Linked DNA regions of Astyanax mexicanus. The protein of the gene in region 2 interacts with the protein of the main gene of each other region in a pairwise test. Links are inferred from orthologs where the notes say so. Each region holds a gene or a part of one and is shown on either strand. Other genes may lie near its edges.

Evidence for each region.
Region 1: the proteins of jakmip2 (region 2) and zgc:103755 interact in binary tests that used the Homo sapiens proteins (3 or more experiments, as listed by UniProt). The two-hybrid records come from large-scale screens. The link is inferred for Astyanax mexicanus from reciprocal best matches to the Homo sapiens genes JAKMIP2 and CLIP4.

What each region holds. Positions count from the first base shown.
Region 1 is NC_064421.1:10,919,618-10,927,771, reverse strand, and holds the start of zgc:103755 (CAP-Gly domain-containing linker protein 4), read right to left. Parts: upstream 3,574-8,154; 5' UTR 3,474-3,573; coding exon 3,395-3,473; intron 1-3,394.
Region 2 is NC_064424.1:118,672-127,080, forward strand, and holds the start of jakmip2 (janus kinase and microtubule-interacting protein 2), read right to left. Parts: upstream 3,253-8,409; 5' UTR 3,142-3,252; intron 1-3,141. Other genes in the region: prolyl 4-hydroxylase subunit alpha-1, read right to left, coding at 5,761-5,831, 6,233-6,329, 7,555-7,623, 7,714-7,773, 7,925-7,975.

The DNA of each region.
Region 1 (8,154 bases), on a different chromosome or scaffold from region 2:
TTGCAATATACAGTATTGTGCAAAATTTTAGGCACCTGTGGGGATTTCAGTACAGAAAAAGCTTCTTATCTGTGAAGTAAGTGTTTATTAGCTCAGTAAAACACCAGCATTACAATAAATACAAACAGCAATTTTATAAAAAGCAGTGCTTTTACAGCCCTGTTTTCCTTAAAACATTTCCTAATCTCTCCTCCTCATCTGAGTTTAATAGAGTTATTTATTTCTAGTTCTGGTTTGGTAAATTACTGGTAAATGTGGTAAATCAGGTGAGCTGCCGACGGAACTGAACATAATATACACATGCTGGCTGAAGGAAATCATCCAGGAGAAATCGGGAACTACACGTTGTTTTTCAGCTTGGCTCACAGGATAGAACATACTTAGTTAAAAATGAGAATTCCTTGTTACATTTTACTGTTTGTATGTTTATTTGTATCTGTTTAAATCATATGTGGTAATTTTTTTTTCAGGTAAAAACCCTCGTATTGCTGAGATGGATCAGTGTAATTTGCTTTGGTGCCTAAAACTTTTGCACAGTACTGTACATAGTGATATTAACCATACAGGACATTTTGTCAGATTTACACCCTGGAGTAAAATGATACTGGGACAGAATGCTTCTAAATTAAATAAAAAAAAATAAAAGTTGAATAACGAACACATTTGCAGGTTTTCATTCATTTTGCCCTTTTTTAAATAAATCATTTTTGTTTGTTTAGTTTAAATTATTCAGCACTTTTACTTCCATTCAGAGCTGAATATGTCTGTGCATCCCTAATAATAGGTAAATATAAACAGATCAATTAAATAGAGATTAGATCCAACCACTAATACTCTTGTCAATAGTTGCAATCAAGTTCTAGTTACTACAACAAAAGCGACAAAAAACTCGTACACACATCTTGGCACTGGAACTAGTACTGTATCCCATGACTTTTGCCATGTCCTATGGAAGCTAAAGCATGTTGCACTGACCTGCAGGATAATTCACGTCATCTGACCAGTATAGAAAGTCAGTGTGGTATTGTATATTTAAGTACAAGCCAATATAAAACAAGCAGACATCAATCCATCAATCTATTCAACATACTTCAAACCAAACAAATCTCTCTATCTTTTAAAACTCATTATAATGCATCCCCCAGTACAAAGTCATATTTGAGATAACATTCCAGTTGTAAGATAATAGGTTCTGGAAGCACTAATATAATATACTTCATAGTAGGTTGCTAAATGTCGTCTGCAACCACATAAAGACAGTTCTGTTTTGTTGCATGGCCCTCTGAAACCATCTGAAATGGATACGCATAAATCAGGCATGATGTATATAAATACGCATTAACATTTGGATGCATGCGGTAATAAAAGCTCTGGGGATTTAAAGCCATCTTTTAAAAAGAGAAAAGAGAAAAGCTAGGCCTGGCTTCAAACCCATTTCACATCACATAAAGGAAAGAAATATAATGTTATATAAATATATCCTTTATCTTCCAACTCAGACCATTTCAAAAACACCTTGCCACTTGAAGAGTGATTCTGAAACTTTTTAACTGACATACCAGAAAAGATCCCACTTTTTCTGAACAATGTAGCATTAAAATAAGTAAAACTAAGCAAATCTCAGAAATCATTAAACAGAGGAATATAAGAGTGATGTGTGACAACACAGTGGCATCCTCTCAGACCCTAGGTTACTGCTTAACACCTGATGTGTGTACTTATTAAGCACCATTTAGCACTTTTTTGTACCTGGGTATGGACTCTGTTGTGTATGCTTTTTGTGTTACTTCTTTATTAGTATTACTATTATTTTTATTATTTGTGTGCTGTTGGACAAATTAATTTTAATTTTAATAAAGTATCTATCTATCTATCTATCTATCTATCTATCTATCTATCTATCTATCTATCTATCTATCTATCTATCTATCTATCTATCTATCTATCTATCTATCTATCTATCTATCTATCTATCTATCTATCTATCTATCTATCTAGGTTACCGTATTTTTCGCACTATAAGGGTAAGGGAATAAACATCTATTTTCATACATAAGGTGCACCACATTATAAGGCATATTTTATGGTGTTGCAATGTTTTCCTTCTAATTCAGCAGGTCTCGCTGCTGGGGGGGGCAAGACCAGTAGAGCTAAGCTAAGTTAAGTAAACAAAACTGTTATTCTTAAAAAAAAAAAAAAAACATTTCAGACAGAAGTCAGCTAGTTCATGCTAAGTGAATTTAAGAGCAATTTATTTTAGAAACTGAGGAGGAACATGACAATTACAAGTATAAAATTTACTACAATAAAATTAAATAACAAAACTGCACAAATTAAATAAAGTCACAAAATTACATATTTCACTTCTCTGCATATCTCTGCATTCTGAGTACATTAGTAAGAAACGCTGTCTCTTTTTTCCCCACAGTATAAAAGACGAGCACAAACTCAGATGAGCATTTTTTTTTTTTTTTTAATCTTCATTTTTGTTTTTTCAAACTATCCGCGATCTCCCCAGACTCTGTGTTACAACCAATGGAACTGCTAGGATCAGAATTACACATAAAAATAGGAATGCACTCAATGTTTAGAAAATAGTCTGTTCGATTTCACCCCAAAAAAATAAAAAATAAAATAAAAAATAGCATTACAAATTGTAGACCTAGGGCGGCGAGTTTCCCAGCTCGAGTTTTCTAAGCTCTGCCACTATGATCTGGAGATCGCTGGATCGAATCCCGGTCATGCAGCTTGCCATCAGCTGTCAGAGCCCTAGGAAAGCACAATTGACCTTGCTCTCTCTGGGTGGGTAGATGGCGCTCATTCTCTTTATCACCCCTAGGGTTTTAGCCAAAGGGGCCCAATGGGCTCAGCACCCCAAGGGTGATGTCAATCAGCACAAGACGTCTGTGAGCTGATGTATCGGAACCAAGTCACTGTGCTTTTCTTCTGAGCCGCTGGCTACTTGATAATGCTGCATCAGCATTTCGGGGCCTCACTATTGTGTCAGAGCATCACTAATGACTGGGGATATACAGCTGAGTAGCAGCTAAATAAATGGGACAATCGACCTAGCTAATTTGGGGAGAAAAATGTGCGAAACTTTATCTGAAATCTAAACTCTAATTAGGAATACCATCTTAGGATCCCTCGCATGTTGCCAGTGGTACATGTACCACAGTTAGTAACCCAATCCAAAATTATTTTAATCCAAATGCTTATTTAATTCAACAATGTTCCAGCCGTAATTACAATTTATAGGCATATTCACATTCATAAACACCTAAATTATGCTCATGTGTCACAGATCAATACCACAAGTTAAAAAGCCTTAATATGTCACAGCAAAGAAGGAGAAAACGCAGCACAACCAGCTCTCAACACACCTGGAACTCACCAACGCCATCAACAGCACCTACAGCACTCTGAAACTCACTGAGCTGGTGCTCCGTCACGGAGGAAGAACCAACCGACATGGCAGAAGATCCCACAAAGTAAAGTTCAAGCTAGACTAGAGCACAGGGGGAAGGTACACTGTGATCTTCCTGGCCTCTTCTAATAAGCCCTGTGATCAGTGGTGGCTCAGGAGCTATTTCTGGCTCACTGGGATGCCATTCCCCTTACCCTGGCACTTTTACTTACCGAGAAACGTGTGATCCAAGGTAAACAAACACAAAACGAAACACGGCATCAGACGCAGGAGGATCAGATGAAGACGAGATACAAGGGCAACCCTACGAGTCCTATGAAAAATGAGAAATTAAGTAAACTGAGCTGAAGACTCAGGCCCAACTAACAACTCTCACTCTCTCATTAGTCAGAGAAATTCCTCGGGGGTGTGCAACTCTAAGCCTATTCAGTGGCATTGCCCTGGATTTGCTTCTAATTTGGCACTGTCTGCGCGTTGTGCAAACTAACACACAATATCCCTTTTGACAGCAGTCAGTTTTAGGCAATGATCTGAACCAGAGTGTTCCTATTGATTGGCTGTCTTTGCAGGGATTTGTAGCGACACAGTGACACGACAGAAGAAAGCTTTTTCGTTTTGAGCTGGTTTAAAGTTTTAATGACATAATTGTCAATGTGAGTTTGAACAGCCGGACCGGCACCATGAGAAACACACGTGAACATCCACAAAAATAGTCCTGGTTACAGGAAAATTGGAGCTTAAACATGAGATCTGCTAAAAGACATTGCCTCACACCAGTGTGTTCACTCAGCGGCCATTAATCTAAATTTTGAATGAATTAAGGACAATAAAAACCTGGATTAGGCCTGTCACAATAATCACATTATCGACTTATCGAACAATAAATGGACACTACATCAATAATATACAATAATCGTGATATTGCCTATTTGTATTTATTTGAACGTTTGTTCACATATATAAACAGAGTAGGGCTGGACCCGAATATTCGGGTATTCGGATATTCGTTCGTTGAGTAGGTATTCGGTTTTTAATTTTGGTATTCGGATATTCGGTTTTTTTCTCCTTTCCAGAGTTCCACCTCACTCTAACCACTTCTGTTCTCGCGGGTCCCGTCAGAATATCTTGCGCACGGGACAGAACTGAACTGTTATTGGCTGGAGCGGGAGTTTAATCCAGACGATGCGGGAGCAAATTAATAAATAGTTAAGAAAACAATAATATGTAATAATTGTAAAAAAAAAAAAACCTAAAGAAAACTCTCAACGCGCAGGATGGACCGACACACACACGCACACACCGATGGTGTTTGGACTGGGGTAAGGAACGGGACCACACTATTCAGCGCTGCTGTTTTAATAAATATATAAGTAAATTTGAAGCATTAAATGTAGTTTATTTAATTTACATTAGGAACGTGGGGCGGGAGCGGCAGAAATGTGTATGTGGCGGGCGGGCGCGGGATTAAAAGAAGCAATTTTTTTGCGGCGCGGTAACGAGACAGAAACGCGGGAGCGTGGAAGAGTGGGTTTAAAAATCAGTCTCGCGCAGACCTCTATTATACATGATAAAAAAAAAATGCAGGCTCTTCGAAACTGATTTATATAATAAAACGTAAGGGGTAATGTGGCAACAGTAGGGGCTAAATCGGTTACAAAAGCCTGGCCTACAAAAATGATGTCTGAACGAATTTCCTCTTATCTAATATAATTTAAAATGGTTTAAAAATATAAAATAATTTCTAAGCAAACGAAATATTTAATTTTGAGCTTATAGCCCAAGTGCAAAAATACAAAATCAGTAATACGGCTATGCCCTGCACAATGCTTAAACCGAAATAGACCAAGTACAATAACGTCATTAACAATGACTTTCCTCTACTCTAATATAATTTAACATGGTTTAAAAATATAAAATAATTTCTAAACAAACGAAATATTTAATATTGAGCTTATAGCCCAAGTGCAAAAATACAAAATCAGTAATATGCCCTGCACAATCCTTTAACCGAAATAGACCAAGTACAGTTTACAATGACTGTCCTCTAATATAATCAACAATGTTTAAGAATATAAAATACTTCCTGAACAAACGTTTTTTTTGTTTGTTTTTTTAAGCAAATAGCCTAAGTGTGAAAACACAAACAGCAATTTACTGGGCTGGCTTGCGCAGCGGAGAAACCGTGCAGCAGCAGGCTCGGTGTGGGGCAGCAGAAATTCCGGGATGAAAACACAAAGAAATCTGGGCTAAAAACACAGAAAAAATATGGGGTGAAAACACAAAAATCCGGGATAAAAACACCAAAAATCCGGGGTGAATATGTCTCGTCGGTCAGAGCAAATTGAACATTTTTCAGTGGATTAAAGGGGCCGTGATTTGCTTTTTTTTTTTTTTTTTTACCTCTTTTTTTAAAAACGAATATTCAAATATTTGCTTCGAATCAGTGCCGAATATCCGGAGCTCAAAAAACGCTATTCGGGCCAGCCCTAAAACAGAGAACAGTATTTTAGCCAGTCATGCTGTAAAAAAAATAATAATAATAACAGCAACTGCATACACACAGTGTGTACTGCAGTAGGTAAAGAAAGAAAAGAGTTTACATTTCCCAGACTATGGTTATTTAAAATTGTGCTGTATTTAAAACATTTGTATAAACGTCAGTGACATTTAAATGGTCTTAAAATTACAATACTGTTTATCGCAATAATTTCTGAGATAATATATCGTCCACAAAAAAAAGCTATTGTGACAGGCCTAGCCTGGATACAGTTCCATTCCCTTACATTCTATAGAAATGAATCCAAAAATGTTTACCATGTTGTCAAATTTGCACCCAGAGTCTACACAACAGAGATCAGAGATGAAAAAATGCACTCTTTTGTCATTAAAACATATGGGTCTGGTCATATGAAGCTACAGGTCATACTACAACTAGCCAGCAGAGGCACTACACCTGTGGTGGCTTCATATTTGAGTTGCCCAGTCCTTGTTAAATACAGTCATTGGTATGAATGGGGAGGATCATGTCAATTTCAAAATATGTTACATAGTTTGTAGTAGTGCTGGGTGGTTTGACCACAAATGTCGGTATTCTGACGTGTTACGGTATATCACTGTATTTTTATTTTTTATTTAATACAGGTTTAAGATTTACTCTACTGTTAGGAGTACATATAATATCAAACATCAAATATCAAAATAAGGCTTTGATCAGTATTAGGTTTACTGTGTCCCACAAAATAAAACAATATATGAAGAAATCAGACTGAATTAACAAAAAACAGCTAAAGAACGTGAGCAACTTTAACACGTCTTCCTTTTTAAAAATAGCTAAATATTTTAAATAGTTCCATAAACACTATAAACGGACCTAAAATACTCAATGTTTAAGTCAAAAGAGATATTTCTCAAAAGCTCTATTACACAAGTAAGACACAAGCGTAATATCAAACTACTATATGTTATTATTGAAGCCATTAAAGTCAAGAAAAAAATTACTGTAGAAAATGAAGGTCAGGTAATCCAACACATTTTAAAAACTCAAGTGCAGTCCCAAGGACCATCAAAAGTCTACAAAGTTATGATGAAACTGGCTCTCATCAGGACCTTCATATGTGTTCCTTTATAATCTAGATGACTTCAGTATTCATTTACAATGTAGGGGAGAGAATAAAAACATTTAGTGAGAAGGTGTCCAAACTTTTGACTGTTACTATATTTATAACTAATAATCCATTGTAACTTCTAATACATTCTCAGACACATCAATAAGGAAGTCAGATTTTTGGCCTCAGTGTTAGAAATCAGTGAATCAGCTTTAAACACATTAAACAGGTGGGTGGTGTGTATTTACTATGGTGTTGCTGGTGTGGTTTTCTACTGTGGTGCAACAGAAGGAAGGCTGTTCCTATTGGTCAGAAGAGGGAGCTAGTGCTGCAGATATCTATCTCTCTATCCTCTAAACCACAACCTAACAACCCACATATAACCCTGCTGCACATCCTGTTAACATCCTGTTACTATTCTCACCGTCTTTCTGTCTTTACAGGGTGAAGTTAAAACCCATCAGTAACTTTATTCTATATAGCTTTTTTCCCACAGATTTTTATTTATTTATTTGAAGGTTATTTATTTTTATATGAAGGTTCTGTATATGAGAAAAAAGCGAGAACATACACTTTTTTATTAATAAAGATATTTCAGGTGTTTTTTTTTGTTTTGTTTTTTTAAGTGATGCAATAGAAGAACATATTTTGTTTCATAAAATTGCATTAAATAAGAGAAGCGCCTATACATCAAGTAAAGGTGATTAAGACATCAAAAGTAAATAAGTAAGTAATTATTTTAATAAGGGTGCAAAAGTTTAGTTTTCATCTTAAGTGTATGAATATGTCTCTTCCTAAAGACAGGTTTCATAAAGCCTTATATTAGTATGTTTAAAGTTTTTATAAACCTATAATATAAGACATTATGAAAACTCTCTTTATATTCACACACTTGTTTTGTTTAACGTAATGTATATTGCTGTTAGCATATGTATCGTAATACAAACTTTAAACAATCACAATATATTGCTTTGCTTCCAGTATCACAATTTCCTATGATATACTGAATCATATACATATGTATTGTGTATTTTAAGTATTGCATTGTTCGGTTCTAGCCAAAACACAGCCCTATCTATCAAAAATGGTACAATATATATATGTATTTATGTATACAAATAT
Region 2 (8,409 bases):
ATTTTTTTCATTTTCTACACAGTAAATGAACAGTGAAGTGATCTATCAGATTATGAAGGAACACATAAGGAATCATGTAGAAACTTAAAAACAGTGTTAAACAAACCTAAATACTCTGTGAAGTATTTAGATACTCTTATCTGGGGAGCTGTTTGTTAACTTGTGGTTTCTAAGGCTGGTAATTTTGATAAACTTATCCTGTACAACAGAGGAAACTCTCGCTCTTCTATCCTTTCCTGGGGTGGTCCTGATGAGGGCCATCATAACGAGTTTTATGGTCTGTGTGGTGACTGTACTTAAGGATACTTTCAAAGTTCCTGAAATTCTTCTTTTCGAATTGATTGACCTTCACTTTCAAATATTTTTCTTTATTTAGTTGAGTAGTTGCTGCTTCTCATAATCTGGATTAGAACATTACTCAAATATTCCCTATTCACTGTATACCTGTAACTCTACCTCTTCACTACTTTACTTTAACTGATGCTCTCAAACACTTTATTAAGAGACAAGAAATTCAAGTAATTAACTCTTGATGAGTTCAGCACAGCTGTTAACTGAAAGCCTGAATTCCAGGAGACTCTACCTCATAAAACTGACTGAGAAAATCCAGCAGAGATGTTCAAAACTGATCATCTAAACAAAAGGAGCTACTATGAAGAAAAACATAAAACATATTCTCTTTTTGTTTATAATTTTATTTCAAATTTTTCCACATTTCTCCCCAATTTACACGCCCAATTACCCAACCCACTCACTAGGACTTCCCCTATCACTAGTGATGCCCCAACACACCAGGAGAGTGAAGACTAACACATGCTTCCTCTGATACATGTGAAGTCAGCCACCGCTTCTTTTTGAGCTGCTGCTGATGCTGTAGCATTACCGAGCAGCATCACAGCGCTAACGCTTGGAGGAAAGCGCAGCGACTCGGTTCTGATACATCAGCTCACAGACGCCCTGTGCTGCAGACATCACCCTAGGAGTGATGTGGGGAGAGAGCGCCATCTACTGTACTGTACCCACCCAGAGGGAGCAGGACCAACTGTGCTCACTCTGAGCTTCGGCAGCTTGATGGTAAAGCTGCATGAGCGGGATTCAAACCTGCGACCTCCTGCTCATAGTGGCAGCGCTTTAGACCACTGGACCACTCGGTGCAATATTCTGGTTTGTTTAACACTTTTTTGTTTAGTTAATAAATATTTTTCTTCATAGTTTAGATGAGTTTAGTATTAATCTACAATACAGAACATTTTTAAATAATAAAAAATAGCCAAACTTTTAACTGAACACGGTTCTGCTGAAAAGATTAAGGACATTTTGAAACTCTTTTAACAGGCGTTGTGCTCTGTCGACTTGAGAGGAGAGAGAGGAGAGAGAGGAGCATCCAGATTGTTATCAGTATCAGTTCAGTCTGTATCTCTGATGGTTTGGAGTTGTGGGCAGCTTAGTTTACACATCTGGAAAATAACCATCAATGCTGTTCTAAAGTACAAAGAGGCTTTAGATCAGTACTCTGGGATCTATCTTACACCCTTTGTAAGGCTTGTCGTGATGCTCATTGCTATCTTACCCCCTTTCTCCTGCCTGGTTTAAACAGCAGCAGAGCTTCTGAATATATCTACACTGATGGGCGTGGTGTTCTGGAAATGAGGTGTGTTCAGGTACATTTCTGGAGTTTTATCTTGTTTATCTTGGTAACAGAAAACACAGGAGCTCCACTGACTGAATACAACCTAGACAGATGCCAACAGTCAGACGTTCATCGCTATCTCGGTAACACAGGCGCGCTGAGCCGAGCGTACACCCCCACTTATTACACACACATGAACACACAGCAGGTAATGATAATGATATTATCACGATACTGTGATTCTGTGATACTCGATATTTCACATTTCATGTATCTGTGTTTCTGAAGATACTCCTAAATAATAAAATACCAGGAATTAGTGCTGGAAAATACGAACAAATTTATATCACAGTATTTAAAGTCTCATGATGTGCAGAATTTATCGTGTTTTGTGTTTTTAAAAATCAGATTCTAATCCTCTTTTAATACATTAATATGATTTTAATAAGTTACTGTTGTTTACAAAACAGAAAAAAACTTACTTTGTTTCTATTTAATGTTTAAAACTGTTACACTATAAAAAGTATTAAAAGTTTGACAAGAATATTTTTAACACAAAAACACACTGAAATATTGTGATATTATCTTAGGGCCATAACGCCCAGCCCAGCCCTTAATACCAGCATATTATTATAATTCATCACTGTGGGAATCTGATGTGAAACTTACACAAACATAATATGCAGTATGAACATATATTAGATTGTCATAAATTAAATATATGGTCATACACAGTAAAAACACATATGTACGAAAATATGCAAACTATATACAAAACCTTTTATAATATACCTCTTTATATATTACATAAATTGACATATGTCTGGCCCATATATATATGCATGGTCATGTATGTAAAATACAGTATGGTATGTATCATAGAAATGCTACATATATGATCTACCATAAGAATATGCCTCATATATATTTACAATATGTACACATATAAATATTATAATGGGTATTTCATTCATATATGTTATAAACGAATATCTAGATATATCCAGATAATATATCAGCTATAAATAGATAACATATATGGAAACACCACTCTTGATATAGAGACAGCTATGATATATTTTGTATTCTCATGCTGCAGTTTGTGGGTTTATATGTTGAATCTGCGGCGGATTTGCTGTTTTATTTGTTACGGTAACGTAACGCTAAAACCGCGGCCTGCTGGGTAACGGTACGGATGCGCTTTAAAAATGCCCGGATGCTGAAATACGTGCTACAATATTTTCCTGCGCGCTTTAATAACAGTCTGCTTATAATTTCTGCGCGTTATATTCAGATTTATACAGTAAGAAACAGATATAAATATATACACTGTATCTCAGAGCGCGGAAACCCGTTGGCGTAAACGACCCCCGGTTAGCCCACGAGCCTCACCGGAGCCATGTTCTAACGGTGATAACGATACAATGTATCCTGTTCTATAAATGATATCCCGCGCGACGATACAAATGTACCTATAATACAGTAAAACAAAAGATAAAAGCGCCGCTTACCGAAAACCGAGGAGAACCGGAGAACCGAGGCCCGCCGACCTCAAACCCAAACCCGGATCCACAGCGCGAGAACCGACCCCCCCCGACCCGCTCAGCATCAGCAGCCGCACAATGCAGCCCCGGTCCTCCCATCACACCTGTACTGCGGCAAGCCCCGCCCACACTGCCGCCATTGGCCGGTTAGCTGCTTCCTCCTGCGCTGCTATTGGCCAGTTATTTCTCTGCTGTGGATCTTTAGTGTAGCACATTATTCTCAGTGTTTACACTTCAAAACGATCAGTTTGTCTGATTTTGCTATTTATAGGTTTATGTTTGAGTAAAATGAACATTGTTGTTTTATTCTATAAACTACAGACAACATTTCTCCCAAATTCCAAATAAAAATATTCTCATTTAGAGCATTTATTTACAGAAAATGAAAAATAAAAAAGCTTTCAGACCTCAAATAATGCAAAGAAAACTTCATTTAGAAAATGTTTTTTTTATTTTGCAAAATTGATACAAATTAAATGGCCAAATTGTGCATCTGTGTCATGTGACTCGTTATTATTATTAGAATGAGGATCAGGGCTGTTAAATTTGGTGTTTTGGGTTTAATTCTCTCATACTGACCAATGGATATTCATACAGCAGTTTATCAGGATGGGTTCCTCTCAACTCCATCTGCATTAAACCCTCCTAGAAGGAGCCTCTTCTAAAGCTGGTAAATAAAAAAAAAGCCTGCAAACAGTTTAGTGAAGATGAGCAGTCCAAGAGCCTGGATTACTGCAACCGTGTCCTGTAGTCTGACGAGATCAAGATAAAGGTGTTTGTCTCTGATGGCATCCAGTATGAGTGGTGGTGTCCTGGTGAAGAGTACCAAGACAACTGTCCCTAGTCAAGCATGGTGGTGGTAGCATCATGGTGTAGGGCTGTATGAGAGCTGCCAGCACTGGGGAGCTGAACTCCAACATGTGCTGTAAGATTCTGACACAGAGCGTGATCCTTTACCTCAAGGGAGTAGCAGCAAATTCTGGGTCCTGTACACTCTCAATGTCAGTGCGCCCCTATCCATACCAGTACACAAGAAACTTGAACAAAAAAACAAATCAGGATTTTCATGGGCCCCGCTCCCTACTCGGGCCCTGGGTAGTCAGATCCACTTTTCCCCCCAATACCACGCCTGTGTTTTACCTTCAGAAACTACTGGGCTGTATTGCAGTTTTTCAACACGATAACAACTGCAAACACAAACTCACCTCTCAGAAGAAAACTGCTCTATTGAGCATCTGTGGGGCATCCTCAAACAGAAAGTGGAAGATCCCAAGATCTCTAACATCCACCAGCTACGTGATTATCATGAAAGAGTAAAGGAGGATCCAGATATAACCTGTGAAACTCTGATGAGCTCCACAACCAAGAAAGTTCAGGCAGGACTGGATAATAATGGTGATCACAAAATAATCACATAGTTTTACTTCTGTTGCAGTGGTTTAGACATATTAGAATTATTTTGAGGAACCATAAATTTACACTGTAATAAAAGCTGTAAAATAAATAATTTACACTGTATTAAAGTGTCGTATCCTCAGTGTTTCATATTAAAATATAATAAATATTAATAATAATGTGAGGAGTGTACTTAGTGCTGTGATTTTATTTATCTATTCTCTGAGGAGGCTGTTATTCACGCGCAGTCCTTCTGACGTGTTGAGCTATTAGCCAATCAGGGCGCGGGAAGCGGAAAACGGGCGGGAAATAAAACCCTGTATCTCTGCAGAGAGGGGTTGTAGTGACGCCGCGAGCCCCGCCCTCCGCGCGCTGAGGATGAGCTCACCGTATCACCGAATACAAACCCAGCACTGTATATCTCTCTATCTATATACATACATATATACAAATATATATATAAATATCTCTATATATAATCATCCCGGTACCGGGGATCTGACCGCGCGCAGAACCGGGTTTAACAGAACCGCGGAGACTCTACAGATCTTACCGCGCGGATCGATACTCTACCAATAAACACGCTTAAATCGACCTCTGTATACACACACTATAATATAAGTATGTGTGTGTGTGTGTGCGTGTGTGTCCAAACACCAACATACTGACTAAAACTCTGCAGGACAGACCAATGCTTACAATTATTATTATTATTATCAATATCTTAATATTCTGTCCTCATATAGTATAATACAGTATCTGATTATACATCTGCATCATTTGAGTTACGACAGAAACTAATATTTTAATAATACATTTATCCTGCAACTCCAGCATCAGCTCACCAACCAATCAGCTCACAGTAATGTTAGGGTCTCTATTGTACAAAATCATTTGTTGTAGAAAAATGGAAATACAGAAAGTTCTTTCATTTTTGGTGAAATACACTGTTCTACTTTCTAAAGTTAAAGAAATATCACTGTTTTCTATCACACACCACAGCAGGCAAAATAATATCAATAATCGACAGGTTTTATTATTAGTTCATGATTTACGCAATGATGATTTATTGCATATTACATATTCAACCACCAAAACATACAACTATAAAACTGACCAGCGGTGAGCAGTGATTCTGCGCTGTGGGAGGAAGTATATTGAAGGAGTTTAATCAGTTTAATCTCCTGAGTTTCAGTCAGATCTGGACAGAGAGCACCTCCTCCTGAACTCCTGCCCCCGGATGTGGATCCACTTATTGGCGACTAAAAGATTTAAAACAGTTAAACACATCTGTTTATAAGATTCACAGGAAGCAGAAATAGCTGTGAATATCTCAATAACGTTTGTGTTTTTCCACCCTGGATACTTAACTCTAGTACTAAATATAAAAATTGTTATATGTTATATTCTCAAGTAATATATTAGTATGTATTCAATGTAATTAATGCATTTCATTATTTTCTGAAGCTGTTTGTATAAAGTGTAATAGCTGCTAGCTAATATACAGCCATATACAGTAAAAGTATATGTGCATATATGTGCAAATTATTTATATTTTTATATTATTATGCACCAAGATAATAAAGGCATAAAGTTATGCAAGGAAAGCATGGAGGAAAATTCTGACAAGATGCAGAATTTATAGAATTATTTATAAACTCACCCCATTTACTACCAATAAACACAGGACACGCAGCATGAAGAGTCCTGCTGTCCTCACTTCCGTTCTTCAGCAGATTAAACCAAACCACTGCTGAACCCTGCGTTACAAAAAAAAAATATTTCAGAAAGATATCTCAAGTTATTTTTATGTTTTTTTTTGGTTTTAATTTTATCTTGCTTTTCTCCACAATTTTATCAGTTGATTATCCCTAACACTCATTAGGACTCCCCCCAATCACTAGTGATGCTCCAACACCAGGAGGGTGAAGACCAGCACACACCTCCTTCAATACATGTGAAGTCAGACTCCGCCTCTTTTTGAGCTGCTGCTGATGCTGTAACATTGCCGATTAGCATCACAGCGCTAACGCTTGGAGGAAAGCGCAGCAACTCGGTTCTGATACATCAGCTCACAGACTCAGCCTTGTGCTGATCCACATCACCCTAGGAGTGATGAGGGGAAAGAGAGAGCGCTATCTACTGTACTGTACCCACCCAGAGAGAACAAGGACAACTGTGCTCTCTCGGGGCTCCGGCAGCTGATGGCAAGCTGCACGCGATCTCCAGATCATAGTGGCAGAACTTTAGACCGCTGGACCACTCAGAGCCCCTCATAGTTTATCATGTTTTTGTTTGGTCAAACTGTAGTTTAGGGTCATGCTGAGTAACAGTTACAGAGGTACAGATGAATAAAACGAGCGCCGACTACACGGAATTTTAAACCAATCAAGCTTTTAATGACCTGATTTACTTATCTTTATTTAAATGTTATTTATTTTATCTTTATGCTTTTTACTTTTATTATCCATTTCTCTAAATTACTTCAATTTTTGACTCTTACTCTCTACATTTTATTATTTTAACCTGCTCTTATTCCCCTTGAATTAAGTGATCTGCTTTGTCTTACCTTTAAAAAATTGAATTATTTTTATAATAAGTTGTGTTTAATAGCTGGACTTTGTATCTGCATTCCCTATTTTACATATATTCCACTATATAAATCTGTAAAGCACGTTAAGCTACATGTCTGATGTAGGAAATGTGGTATATAAATAAAGTTTATTTTAATAATTATTAATGAGAAATTAGAAAATGTGATGAAAAGAAAGTACTTGGAGTTCTAAGTTGTACTAAACCACATGTGGAATATATGTGTCTCAATGCGAACCAACCTTAAATATAATAAATATACTAATTATTATCTTCTAATTTAAAAAAAGCAGTACTGACAGTATTTTTTTTTTGGGGGGGGGGGGGTATTTTTGTGATTGGATGTATTATATTGTATTTTTCTAATAAAATTATTTGATAAGATTTTCTGACCTTCTCAGGCTGCAGCGCCGCACCAACATTTGGAAACACAGTAGCTCCGCCCACTTCCACATCACTCAGCTGAGAAATTTATATTAAAATTAATTATCTAAACATCAAATAAACTAAACTGAAAATATGCTCTAAAATATTACCAAATAAAATATTTACATAAATCAACACAGTGGCGATTCTTCCTCCTCTGAGCTGAAAGTAAGAGTCATTATTCACCTGTTGGGTAAAAACAGCAATAATACAGTTAAAATATACTGTATTTATGCGTAATACTGTAATATATATTTACTGACATATTCAGAAAAACTGCACAACTATAATAGAGTATTAAAATTCTCTAGTTTTAATTTTTAGTTGTATAGCTCACTGCAGAGTCGTAATGAGGTTCATATTGTCCTCCAATCCCATAATTTGCAACCTGAAAGAGAAAAATACACATTAAATATGTTTCTAATTCTAATTACGAAATCAAATCATCGTACAACAAATGAAAAAAAATTGCTGACCTCGACATTTTAAATTCTGTTTAAATTCTCATTAACATGAAGTTATCTAGCATAAAAATGGATCCTCTGTCTGGTAATAAAGTAAATTAGAGAACTTTATGGGGAGATTAATAATAGTGTAGTGTGGTTTTACTGTAATATTATTTCTCAGGGTAGATTTAATGTTTTTAACTGAAAATATTTTAATGTGCCGAGTAAAAAATTTAACATAGAACTTTAAGATGAAACAGGGCGAAGCTTTGAATCGAGGAAATAAATAATAATGTAGCTCCACATTCAACAACCTGGAAAGAGGAAACATGTCATCAGAGGTGTGTGTGTGTGTGTGTGTGTGTGTGTTTTGGTT